Linked DNA regions of Arabidopsis thaliana. The protein of the gene in region 1 interacts with the protein of each later gene in a pairwise test. Each region holds a gene or a part of one and is shown in the gene's direction. Other genes may lie near its edges.

Region 1 (6,093 bases):
CGTAGCGTCTTCTGAAATAATGGCCTTAACAGAACTGATCAACAATCTGAAGAATGAGCTTGATTCTCTACAGGTGCAGAAGAGCGAAACCGAAGCAGAGCTTGAGAGAGAGAAGCAAGAGAAATCAGAATTGTCGAATCAGATCACCGATGTCCAGAAAGCATTGGTAGAGCAAGAAGCTGCTTACAATACGCTGGAAGAGGAACACAAGCAGATAAACGAACTATTTAAAGAAACTGAAGCAACACTAAATAAGGTAACTGTGGATTACAAAGAAGCTCAAAGATTGTTGGAGGAGAGGGGTAAGGAAGTGACATCCAGAGATTCTACAATTGGGGTTCATGAAGAGACGATGGAGAGTTTACGTAACGAGCTGGAAATGAAAGGAGACGAGATCGAAACTCTCATGGAGAAGATCAGTAACATCGAGGTTAAGCTACGCTTGTCGAACCAGAAACTGAGAGTAACCGAACAGGTACTAACAGAGAAAGAAGAAGCTTTCAGGAAAGAAGAGGCTAAGCACTTAGAGGAGCAAGCATTGCTTGAGAAGAATCTCACCATGACACATGAGACTTATCGAGGTATGATCAAAGAGATAGCAGATAAAGTGAACATAACAGTAGATGGGTTTCAATCCATGTCAGAAAAACTCACGGAGAAACAGGGGAGATACGAGAAAACTGTAATGGAGGCATCAAAAATACTGTGGACTGCGACGAATTGGGTGATAGAGAGAAATCACGAGAAGGAGAAGATGAATAAAGAGATAGAGAAGAAAGATGAAGAAATAAAAAAGCTTGGAGGAAAAGTAAGAGAAGATGAAAAAGAGAAGGAGATGATGAAAGAGACTTTGATGGGACTTGGAGAAGAGAAAAGAGAAGCGATAAGGCAATTATGTGTTTGGATCGATCACCATAGAAGTCGTTGTGAATATCTTGAGGAGGTTTTGTCTAAGACCGTTGTGGCTCGAGGCCAAAGAAGAGTGTCGCAGCGAACTTAAGGACTCAGTGCCATGGTACGTTGTTTATCTTTCCCAAGCCTAGTTTCCACCTCACATGAATGCAAACAATGAAACAACATATATGTGTTTATTAGGTTTTGGACTCTGGTCAATCAAGAAGCTGGTGGAGAGGTATTTTTGGTTGGGGACTTTTGGTGTACTTGTGTTCGATTTTGTTGCACTTTTATATGTTTGTTAACTTTTGTTGTATTTTGTAAGTCAAAATTTTTGGTTTATTGTGGGCAAAGTTGGTGGTGGTTTTTATGGGAGGTCAGGGAATAAAGGGGCTCACACAAATGGAGTTGATATTTTTTTTTCTTTGGGCGTCGGATTGTATAGAACGATTAAATGCTACTGTTGGTATAGTGCTTTTGCTTGTTTGGAATTTGTTATAGTATCATCTTTGCTCTTTCATAACAAAATTATACACATCGCTTTACAGAGTTTCGTTCTCTCATTCATTTCTTATTTTATTGGGTTTTTTTTTTTTGCATTAGCAGTCGTTATATCTCGCCTTGAATTTCTAATGTGAACTAGTTTGAAATGTTTGAAATGTTTATTCTTTAATAGCAACCACTTTTTTTTCAAGTGTTTTTCACAACCGAAAAAGTCAGCCATGTGAATGATACACAAAATAAGTCAGCCAGTAAGGTTTGGTGATGTTAGATCAATCAAATATTTGAGAAAAAATTCCATAACTAGTTGATATTTCCTAAATCGAAGTTAATTGAAAATTAAGTACAATTTGGCAATATCTTAAATTATTAAATTTTAAATAGAAACTCTATTCACTTTTATGAGTTTATGGAAACACACTACTTTCTCCTCTAAAATCAGACAGTGATTATACTTTGACCTTAAAATTTGAAAAGAGTCTAACACGTTATAATTCCCAATTACTTTATTATCTGATTAATTCACCAAGATACATTAAATCTAAAATTATGTGATAGATATTCATATAAATCATATTGGATTATTCCAACAAAAAAAAAACTCTTAAAATTTGTTTCCTTATTTACAAACAATACATTACTGAAAATTTCTAAATAAAATATCAAAAAGTAATTTCAAAACCTTGTTTTGTCAATTTAATATTTTTATTTTTACAAAAAAAAATCTGAAACATGCAAAGAAGCACAAGTAAAGTACAAGTGGAAATGTATGAAAATAGGAATCATAAAACTAATTTTTTAATTTAATGATAGGAATCTGAAAAAAGCAAAATTTTATCACATCCCGAATAAAGAGGAAAATGCAAAATATGTCTCCTTTTCTCACTATGACAGGTTGTTTCTTTAAAGAAGCAACGGAATTTAACATTATAGCAAACATTAACTATCACCAGCTATCATGCGCCCACCTCTCCACCGTGCTCTCCATCATCATCATTCCATATATAAATCATTCACTTGTAGAATCTTCTTCTCTTTCACACTAAAATTCATCGATGACGGATCCTCCCAGACCCGACCCGTTTCCTGTTACCCGACTCGATTCCGACGCCGGTGCTCTCTTCGTCCTCCAATCAAAAGGTTAAACCCATATATTTATGATATCAATCTCCAATTTTGGAATTTTAACTGATTTGAGAATTAATTCTCAGGCGAGTGGTGGCACGCCGGATTTCATCTAACGACGGCGATTGTTGGTCCGACGATATTGACATTACCATATGCGTTTAGAGGATTAGGATGGTGGTTAGGGTTTGTTTGTTTAACGACGATGGGACTCGTTACTTTCTACGCTTATTACCTCATGTCTAAGGTTCTTGATCACTGTGAAAAATCCGGCCGCCGTCACATCCGTTTCCGGGAACTCGCCGCCGATGTTCTTGGTATCATTCAAAATCTCTTCTTTGTATTTATTAATTTGCTTTTTTTGGATAAATCCGTAAAGGTTGGATCGTGTTTCGATTTGGATACTTTGACTTCTTGTTAGATTCGCCATCATCACACGTGTCTTAGTTTACCGTACCGGTCTAGGTTAGGCCTGTGTATTTCGGTTTATAGATCGGTTTACGTCATAAAGTCTGGTCTTTCCGGTTATTGAGTTTTGGGTTTAAGGGCCGATTTCGAATTTTGAGCCGGTTATTGTGATGTGGTGCAGGATCTGGATTGATGTTTTATGTAGTGATCTTTATTCAAACAGCTATCAACACTGGAATTGGTATTGGCGCCATTCTACTTGCAGGTCAATGTCTTGATGTAAGAAAGAAACCTAAATTTTGATTACTTGTTAAACAAGGTACTATAAGAACCGTACGGATCATCCTCTGTTTTTGTGTTACTACACAGATAATGTATTCGAGTCTTTTCCCGCAAGGAACGTTGAAGCTTTACGAGTTCATTGCTATGGTGACTGTTGTGATGATGGTTCTCTCACAGCTTCCAAGTTTTCACTCTCTTAGACACATTAACTGTGCGTCTCTGCTTCTCAGCTTAGGATATACTTTCCTCGTCGTTGGGGCTTGTATCAACCTAGGTATAATGATTCTTACGTTAGCGAAGAAACAACAACTTACTAATGTTCGAAAATTTAGATTCATTGCCCAGTTTTGGTTCTACAGGTTTGTCGAAAAACGCTCCTAAACGTGAGTATTCTCTAGAGCATTCGGATTCAGGGAAAGTTTTTAGTGCCTTCACATCAATTTCGATCATAGCTGCTATTTTCGGAAATGGAATCTTACCCGAAATACAGGTGAGAAATGTTTGCAATTTATTCAATACAAACATTGTATGTTATGTGTTTGAGATTTATGAGATGATTATATGTATGCAGGCAACTCTTGCTCCACCAGCCACAGGGAAGATGTTGAAAGGACTATTGTTGTGTTATAGTGTGATCTTCTTCACGTTTTACTCTGCTGCAATTTCGGGATATTGGGTTTTTGGTAACAATTCGAGCTCTAATATCCTCAAGAACTTAATGCCTGATGAAGGACCGACTCTGGCTCCTATCGTGGTGATTGGCTTAGCTGTCATCTTTGTCCTTCTTCAGCTTTTCGCCATTGGCCTTGTAAGTTTATAACTAGTGTGATCGTTATTCGATGTTACTTGGCTGTGAGACGAGTGACTAAATGTTTCTTTTTTTTGGTAACTGGTTAGGTGTATTCTCAAGTTGCGTATGAAATAATGGAGAAGAAATCAGCGGATACAACAAAAGGGATATTCTCAAAACGCAACCTTGTGCCGCGTTTGATACTAAGAACACTATATATGGCGTTTTGCGGGTTCATGGCAGCGATGCTACCGTTCTTTGGGGATATAAACGCGGTGGTAGGAGCGTTTGGGTTTATCCCACTCGATTTCGTGCTGCCAATGCTTCTATACAACATGACCTATAAGCCAACCAGACGGAGCTTCACGTATTGGATAAACATGACGATAATGGTTGTGTTCACTTGTGCAGGACTCATGGGAGCTTTCTCCTCCATTAGGAAACTTGTTCTTGATGCTAATAAGTTCAAGTTGTTTAGCAGTGAAGTTGTTGATTAGATGGTTTTGATAGTGTGATAAAAACATAAACAATACTTGTTTTGTGGTTACACTTGTACATGAATTTCTCGAGTTGATTCATTATCACACAAAATGCAAAACCAAACTAGTTACAAAATGCAAAACCAGACAAGGATTATCACACTTACGTCAATTGTTCTTGAGATGAATATGTTTTTTTTGTTAAATGATTTTCTATTTAAATACAAAGTTCCTTTGGGTATAAACACTAAACAGATTACTGGGTTCAGTAAACTCTCTCAGAGTGTGTTAATTTTCAGTATTCGTAGCTGATTGGTTCGGTTTCGGACCGATTGGATATCCACCAATCCGAAATAATACATTACATATTATTAATTTTATGCTCAATTCGGATCGTGTAATTCAGAATTTCATATTTGATATAGTAAATTTCAAATAATTTTGATAATTCTGATCGGATAATTCGGATATTTTGGATTTCATCGGATAATTCAAATCCAAATAAGAATTAAAACCATACATATTTTGGTTTCGAATACACTTGGGATTCTAAAATATCAATAAAAACCGATTTAAGTCTAAAAAAATTAGAATCATAAAATTGTTTGGATTCTAATCGGATTCTATCAGACCTAATCTAATCTGATCCGATCCAAAATTCGAATGCCCAGACTATCACATACTATGGTCATGGATTTCGGAGCGGATACTCCAATCTCATTTGCATTTTGTCTTCTTCTTCTTTTTTTTTTTAATTATTAAAAATTACCTTAAGAATCTAAATGGAAATGCAAAACAATGTGGACGTAAAGAACTTAGGATCAAGGTAATCTAGCAACAACAAAATAAATGGATATATAGTAAATTTAAAAATAAAATATAGACACAATAACAAGGTACTATTTTTTAATAGCATTTCAATATAACAACTAAAAACAAATCATGAGGAACAAAAAAATACCGAAAAAAGCTCGCGCATAGTGCAGATACTCACCTAATTATATATAAAGGTTTGTATTCATATAGTATCTTTTGGCCATTTTCTGTAAATATATATTATATTGAGAGTATGATTTGAGGATCTTCATCATAAATGAAAAAAATAAATATATGTGGGGACAAGATCAAATTAATGATTTATCATGTGATGTATCAGCGATAGTATTTGTTAAATACTATTTCTAAGGTTTACGTGTTAGGATTAGGAATTTAGGAACGAGCACGAATAGTCAACATACAGAACCTAACTCGTTTTGTGTTAATTGTTTTAGACACATGTGTGTAAGTCAGTAAAAGTTTTTTTCCTAATGGCAAAAGTAATTCATCCATTCAAGATAGAAATGGCCATTTTCTTTAAGAGAAAACCAATCTGATGAAATAGAGTTTACTTAGAAAAAGATAATACCACATGATCGTGCTTTTTTGCAAGACACTCATGTGGAAAAAGAGTGTTTGAAAGAGCTAAAATCTTCTAATTCTGACAGTAAAAGTTTAAGCTCGTTTATTTATTACATTTTTCGTCATTGTCAACTAACTATACATGAGTACTTCATAAAATCCATGTGATTTAGCTTACAAAAAAAAAAAATGTAATTACGTACGTGTATAGAACTT
Region 2 (5,116 bases), about 13 Mb from region 1:
ATGGTAGAACCAAGATGACAATGAGCTCCAACAAGCTTCAGCTCTTTGGGATGTGCCTTCACTTCATCCAGAAACCATTGAAGCTTCTCGTTCCTAATACCAAACTTCGAGTTCTTGTTCCCAGTAGCTACATATGGATGCACCTAAAATGGTAACAAACAGAAAAAGCTCATTCATATCCAAGCTAAAGAATAGATTCTAGGACATGCTGCTAAAAGATTGAAAATTTAACCATACCTGAGGATCAACATCAGGATTGATACGCAACAACACATTGACCTGCTTACCAGAAATTCTTGAAGCTTCCACAATGTTATTCAAGTCAAACTCACTATCAACATTTACGAAAACACCTTCTTGAGCAGCTAGAACTAAATCTTCCAAAGACTTTCCATTTCCATTGAAAATACACCTATTCATTTCATCCACACCGAAGACATGGTCAAAAACTACACATCAACATGAGACCAAATAAAAAAATATTCAAACTTTATTATTGGGGATAAAGAATCGTACTTTGTGGGATCGAAACCAGCAAGAAGAGCAAGCCTGAGCTCATTTCCACTAACCAACACAGCACCACAGCCCAAACTCCTCAAATGCTCCAAAATCTTGAGATTGTTATTAGCTTTAATAGCGTAACCAATAACAGATCTCACTCCTTCCAAAGCCTCTTTATAAGCCTCAAGGTTTCTCGTGATCTGAGGTTTGCTATATAAGTAAAAGGGTCGTTTCTCGACTGTTTCCATGATATCTTGAACCTTGGTTCCTTCGCAATAGAGAAACCCATCTGATGATTTCTTGAAACAGTGGTCGAAAGAGGAAGCAGATTCTTTCGTGAGGGTTTTGGTGGAGTTTTGGGAAACGGCGGCTTTGACGGAGAGGCGTTTAAGTGGCTTCAATGTTGACTTGAGAGACAAAAATGGGATTCTTGAGAGTGAAGTCTGATTCAATTGGTACTGATTTAGGGTTCCGCGGATTGATGAAGGTTGGGAGAGAAATTGAGTAACTGCCGCCATGGCTGGAGGATTTTTGTTAGGTGTGCGACTGTTACAGTAACACTGAAGGGTTTAGAAAAAAAAAGTCAACAAGTTTAAGAGTAGTTCCTGTCGGGTCCGGTTTTAGATATCCGACAATATCGAACCGGTGGTTATAGTCGAACCGATGGTTAAAAGAAGAAAGAACAAAGTCGATTTTAACTTCTTTTGGATATGGTTTTTGTCCTTGGGGGATAGTTTCTGCTAGTGTTTGTTTTGTTCGGTTGTGTTAGTTGTGTGTTGTAATAATCTTGATGCTTAAGGGGTCACCTAAAGCAGTCATGGAAATCTAGCCCTATCTATAAAAATTTGCCATTTCTCATCACCTACCAATACTTCTATTTGTTCGTATTATGCGGATATTCAGAGGATAATGTAAAACATTTTGTTGAATGCTAACGATGAAGTGCTCTATCTAGCCGTGCACGTTGTGGAGAAGTTATGTTTTAGAATCCACATTTGTTGAAGTTATGCTTATCATACTCTCTTAATTATCTATATCTATTACAAAGAGCAAGGAATGTTCTTAGTTAGGATTTGTTTTGTTTGGCAACCATTGCTTCTGGTTATTTGTGCTCTGCCTCCTTTGTAAGTTAGGATTTGTTTTATTCTTACAACTTTGCTTCTCTCGTCATACTATATAATCTCTGACTATGTATGTAATTGCATTCATGTCGATGGTTGTGGGATGTATATTTAGGTGTTTGACTGTAAGACGTTAAAAACAAACTTTACCATAAGTTATTGGGATGTCTAGACACTTTTATGGTTTGGTGAAGTAGGCTCAATGTTTTGCCCTTTATGTTTCCATTGTTGATGTTTATGTACCTTGCTGGTTGGAACCACTTGTGGATGTTTCCGACAATGCTTCTCTGTAATGCAGTTATCTTTTAATGAAATGTGATCGATCTTGAGTGTTATTTATTTTTATTTTTTTAAAGACTTTATGGTGTGGACACTTGACCGGGTGATAATTGGTAACTATACTACATAGTTAGAGAGCTCTTGAATTATTAATCACGCTAAATCTTGGGAATTGAGAGCTCGGAAGCAAAGGTTATTAACAAAATTCAAAGCAGAGCAGCATTGCCGATGAAATAATTATTGACTTGGGATTTACTCTCTGAAGTCTGAACCAAATCGAGATTATTCTAATTATATTTTTAATTTCGGATCCCTAATCTATTAATACTCCAATATCTGCACTCATTTAATTATTTCCTCTTTTTTTAACCTGCACTGACTTAAATTCAAACTTATTTCAATTGCGTGCACACTTTAGTGAACTACTACCACTATCACTATATGTGTCGGTGGATTATTATTTCCGTCATTTTGATATTTAATTACATCTTTAATTGTTACTCTTTTTTGCCCATTCTTCTTCTTCATTTGATTACATTATACTCTATTGTGAATTACTAAATTCTGAAAACAAGAAAAATTTGAGTACACAGGACACATCTTAGTATTACTCGTTACTAAAATACTACACGTGTAAATAATTTTTTCAGAAATAAATGGGGCCACTTTGTAAGTAATAAATCAGCTTACATTAATTATTTTACCACCCAATAAAAAGATTCCACAGACTTGGCATGGAAGTCATGAACATTCACAAAAATCTAAGAAAAACTGAAAACCGAAAAAAAAACAAATTATTAAAAAGCAATAAATAAATAAACTCAGAAAAAAAAGCTATTAAGATTCCACAAAAACTCTGTATTGTCTCTTTCTCTCTCACTATCTCTCTCTCTTTTGTGAGCTCAGATCTGACCAGAGAGAAAGAAACAACCGGAGAAGAAGAAGATGACTGACCGAGTCTTCCCAGCTTCCAAACCACCAACCGCCACTAATGGAGCTCCACCAGTTGGTTCCATACCACCTCCTCCAGCTCCGGCGACTGTAACCAGCAACGGAACAACAAACGGAATGGCTAATCAGAAACCTCAAGTCTACATTCCAGCTAACCGTCCGGTTTACCGTCCACAGCCTTACAGTCGCCGTCATCACCACCAATCTCGACCAAGCTGCCGACGAATTTGCTGTTGTTGCTGTTTCTGGTCGATTCTGATAATTCTGATCTTAGCTCTCATGACTGCAATCGCCGCCACCGCGATGTACGTGATCTACCACCCTCGTCCGCCGTCGTTCTCCGTCCCGTCAATAAGAATCAGCCGCGTGAACCTAACAACCTCCTCTGATTCCTCCGTCTCTCATCTCTCTTCCTTCTTCAACTTCACTCTAATCTCAGAGAATCCAAACCAACACCTCTCTTTCTCTTACGATCCTTTCACCGTCACCGTTAATTCAGCTAAATCCGGTACGATGCTCGGTAACGGAACTGTTCCTGCTTTCTTCAGCGATAACGGTAACAAAACTTCGTTTCACGGCGTGATCGCTACGTCTACAGCGGCGCGTGAGTTAGATCCGGATGAAGCTAAGCATCTGAGATCAGATCTGACGCGCGCGCGTGTAGGATATGAGATCGAGATGAGAACTAAAGTGAAGATGATAATGGGGAAGCTGAAGAGTGAAGGAGTAGAGATCAAAGTGACATGTGAAGGATTTGAAGGAACTATACCAAAAGGTAAAACTCCAATTGTAGCTACTTCTAAAAAAACTAAGTGTAAGTCTGATCTTAGTGTCAAGGTCTGGAAATGGAGTTTCTAGAGGGAATTTTGATAATTTCACAATTGAAATTTTCTATATAATCTTCTTCTTTTTTTCTTCTGGATTTTGTGAAACTTTTGGAATGATCCAAAAGGAGATTTCTTCAGTTGTTAGTTAAAAAATTTCAGAGAAGAGTCAGAGAGATAAGGTATTGTCAAGTAGAAGAAGGCCAGAGAATTCACGGCTTCTAAAAAAATTTCTTGGATTTTTGTTTTGTTTGGAACTTTCTTACTTGAATTTATATTTAATGGATACAGAAATATAAATGTAATACTTGTAACGAATGGAGTACTAAAAAGCTGGAGATTGCAGTGACTGCGTGATAGTGAGCATTAAAGTGAGATCGTAGTAGTAATAAACAGAACCTTAAAAATGGAAAAGATGCGTGGGGTTTGTGAGGAGAACAATGAAGAACACGAGAGATGTGTTAAATGTTAGATGTTGAACCATCTATCGCATTATACAACACCATTTAAGAGAAACGTGAATCGTCTTTAGTACTCTATAAAGCAAGCATATATTCTAGCAGTTGCATGTTATAAAATTAATACAGATCGATCACTCAATTCATGAATATGGTTTGATATAAACATTAAATTAAATGTCATGCTGTCATAAAAGATGAATTATATGGTTCATTTATCTAAGAAACTTTTTATTAACTAAGTAAGTAAAAGTTTGAAGAGGTCATTTGCAAGTGACTCCGACCAGGGATAGACTCCTGAAATCTTATCCAACTATGGACGACGACTTCATGTCGGTGTGTCCAAAAATGAGGAAAAGGAATCTGCCCAAGGGACAAATGGCATTACCCGAAACGGCAAAGAAGAACCGCAGGAAAAAAAGTTGACAATAACGTATGAGGTGTGACTGAAAAAGAAAAACTTGTAGTTTGGTTTATGACGTAAATGAATAATTTGGAAATGACAATAAGTCATCATATCTAATTTAGTGCATGACCTCCAACGTCGGCATATATTTGAGTCGGTGACCGGATATCCAGTACAAAGTAAAGTACAAACCAAAAAGAAAGACAAGACAATAAAATGGGTAAAGAAGACTTGCATACACGGACGTGATAGAAGAAGACATGCATAGTATAATTCTGACTTTCTGAGACCTTTAATGAAAATATTTGGCAATGTATTTCAAGAATAACTATGGCATATCTCTTAGATTTTGTGAAAATAGCCCATAATCGAAGAAGATGATAGTAAAAAACCGAGGCCCAAATAGAACCCATTTACCCAAAATATCAAAAAGATTAGTCGTTTGGCAATGAAATTAGAAGCCCAACACATGTCCTAAGCCTTTTTCACTTTTCTTCACTGTTTGGTTTTCCGACATCATTAACTTCGCGGGGGCAAGCGACTAACAGAAGAAAAAAAGCGACTAACAGAAGAAAA

The links.
Region 2: the proteins of AT5G41800 (region 1) and EMB3135 interact in a protein complementation assay, tested with the Arabidopsis thaliana proteins (one large-scale study listed by BioGRID).

Annotation. Positions count from the first base shown.
Region 1 is NC_003076.8:16,731,392-16,737,484, forward strand, and holds AT5G41800 (Transmembrane amino acid transporter family protein), read left to right. Parts: upstream 1-2,271; 5' UTR 2,272-2,450; coding exon 2,451-2,535; intron 2,536-2,606; coding exon 2,607-2,837; intron 2,838-3,109; coding exon 3,110-3,207; intron 3,208-3,297; coding exon 3,298-3,484; intron 3,485-3,569; coding exon 3,570-3,700; intron 3,701-3,781; coding exon 3,782-4,018; intron 4,019-4,107; coding exon 4,108-4,497; 3' UTR 4,498-4,702; downstream 4,703-6,093. Other genes in the region: CIP1 (COP1-interactive protein 1), read left to right, coding at 1-1,000.
Region 2 is NC_003076.8:3,828,924-3,834,039, forward strand, and holds EMB3135 (harpin-induced protein), read left to right. Parts: upstream 1-2,576; 5' UTR 2,577-2,846; coding exon 2,847-3,710; 3' UTR 3,711-4,228; downstream 4,229-5,116. Other genes in the region: AT5G11880 (Pyridoxal-dependent decarboxylase family protein), read right to left, coding at 1-143, 238-412, 517-1,019.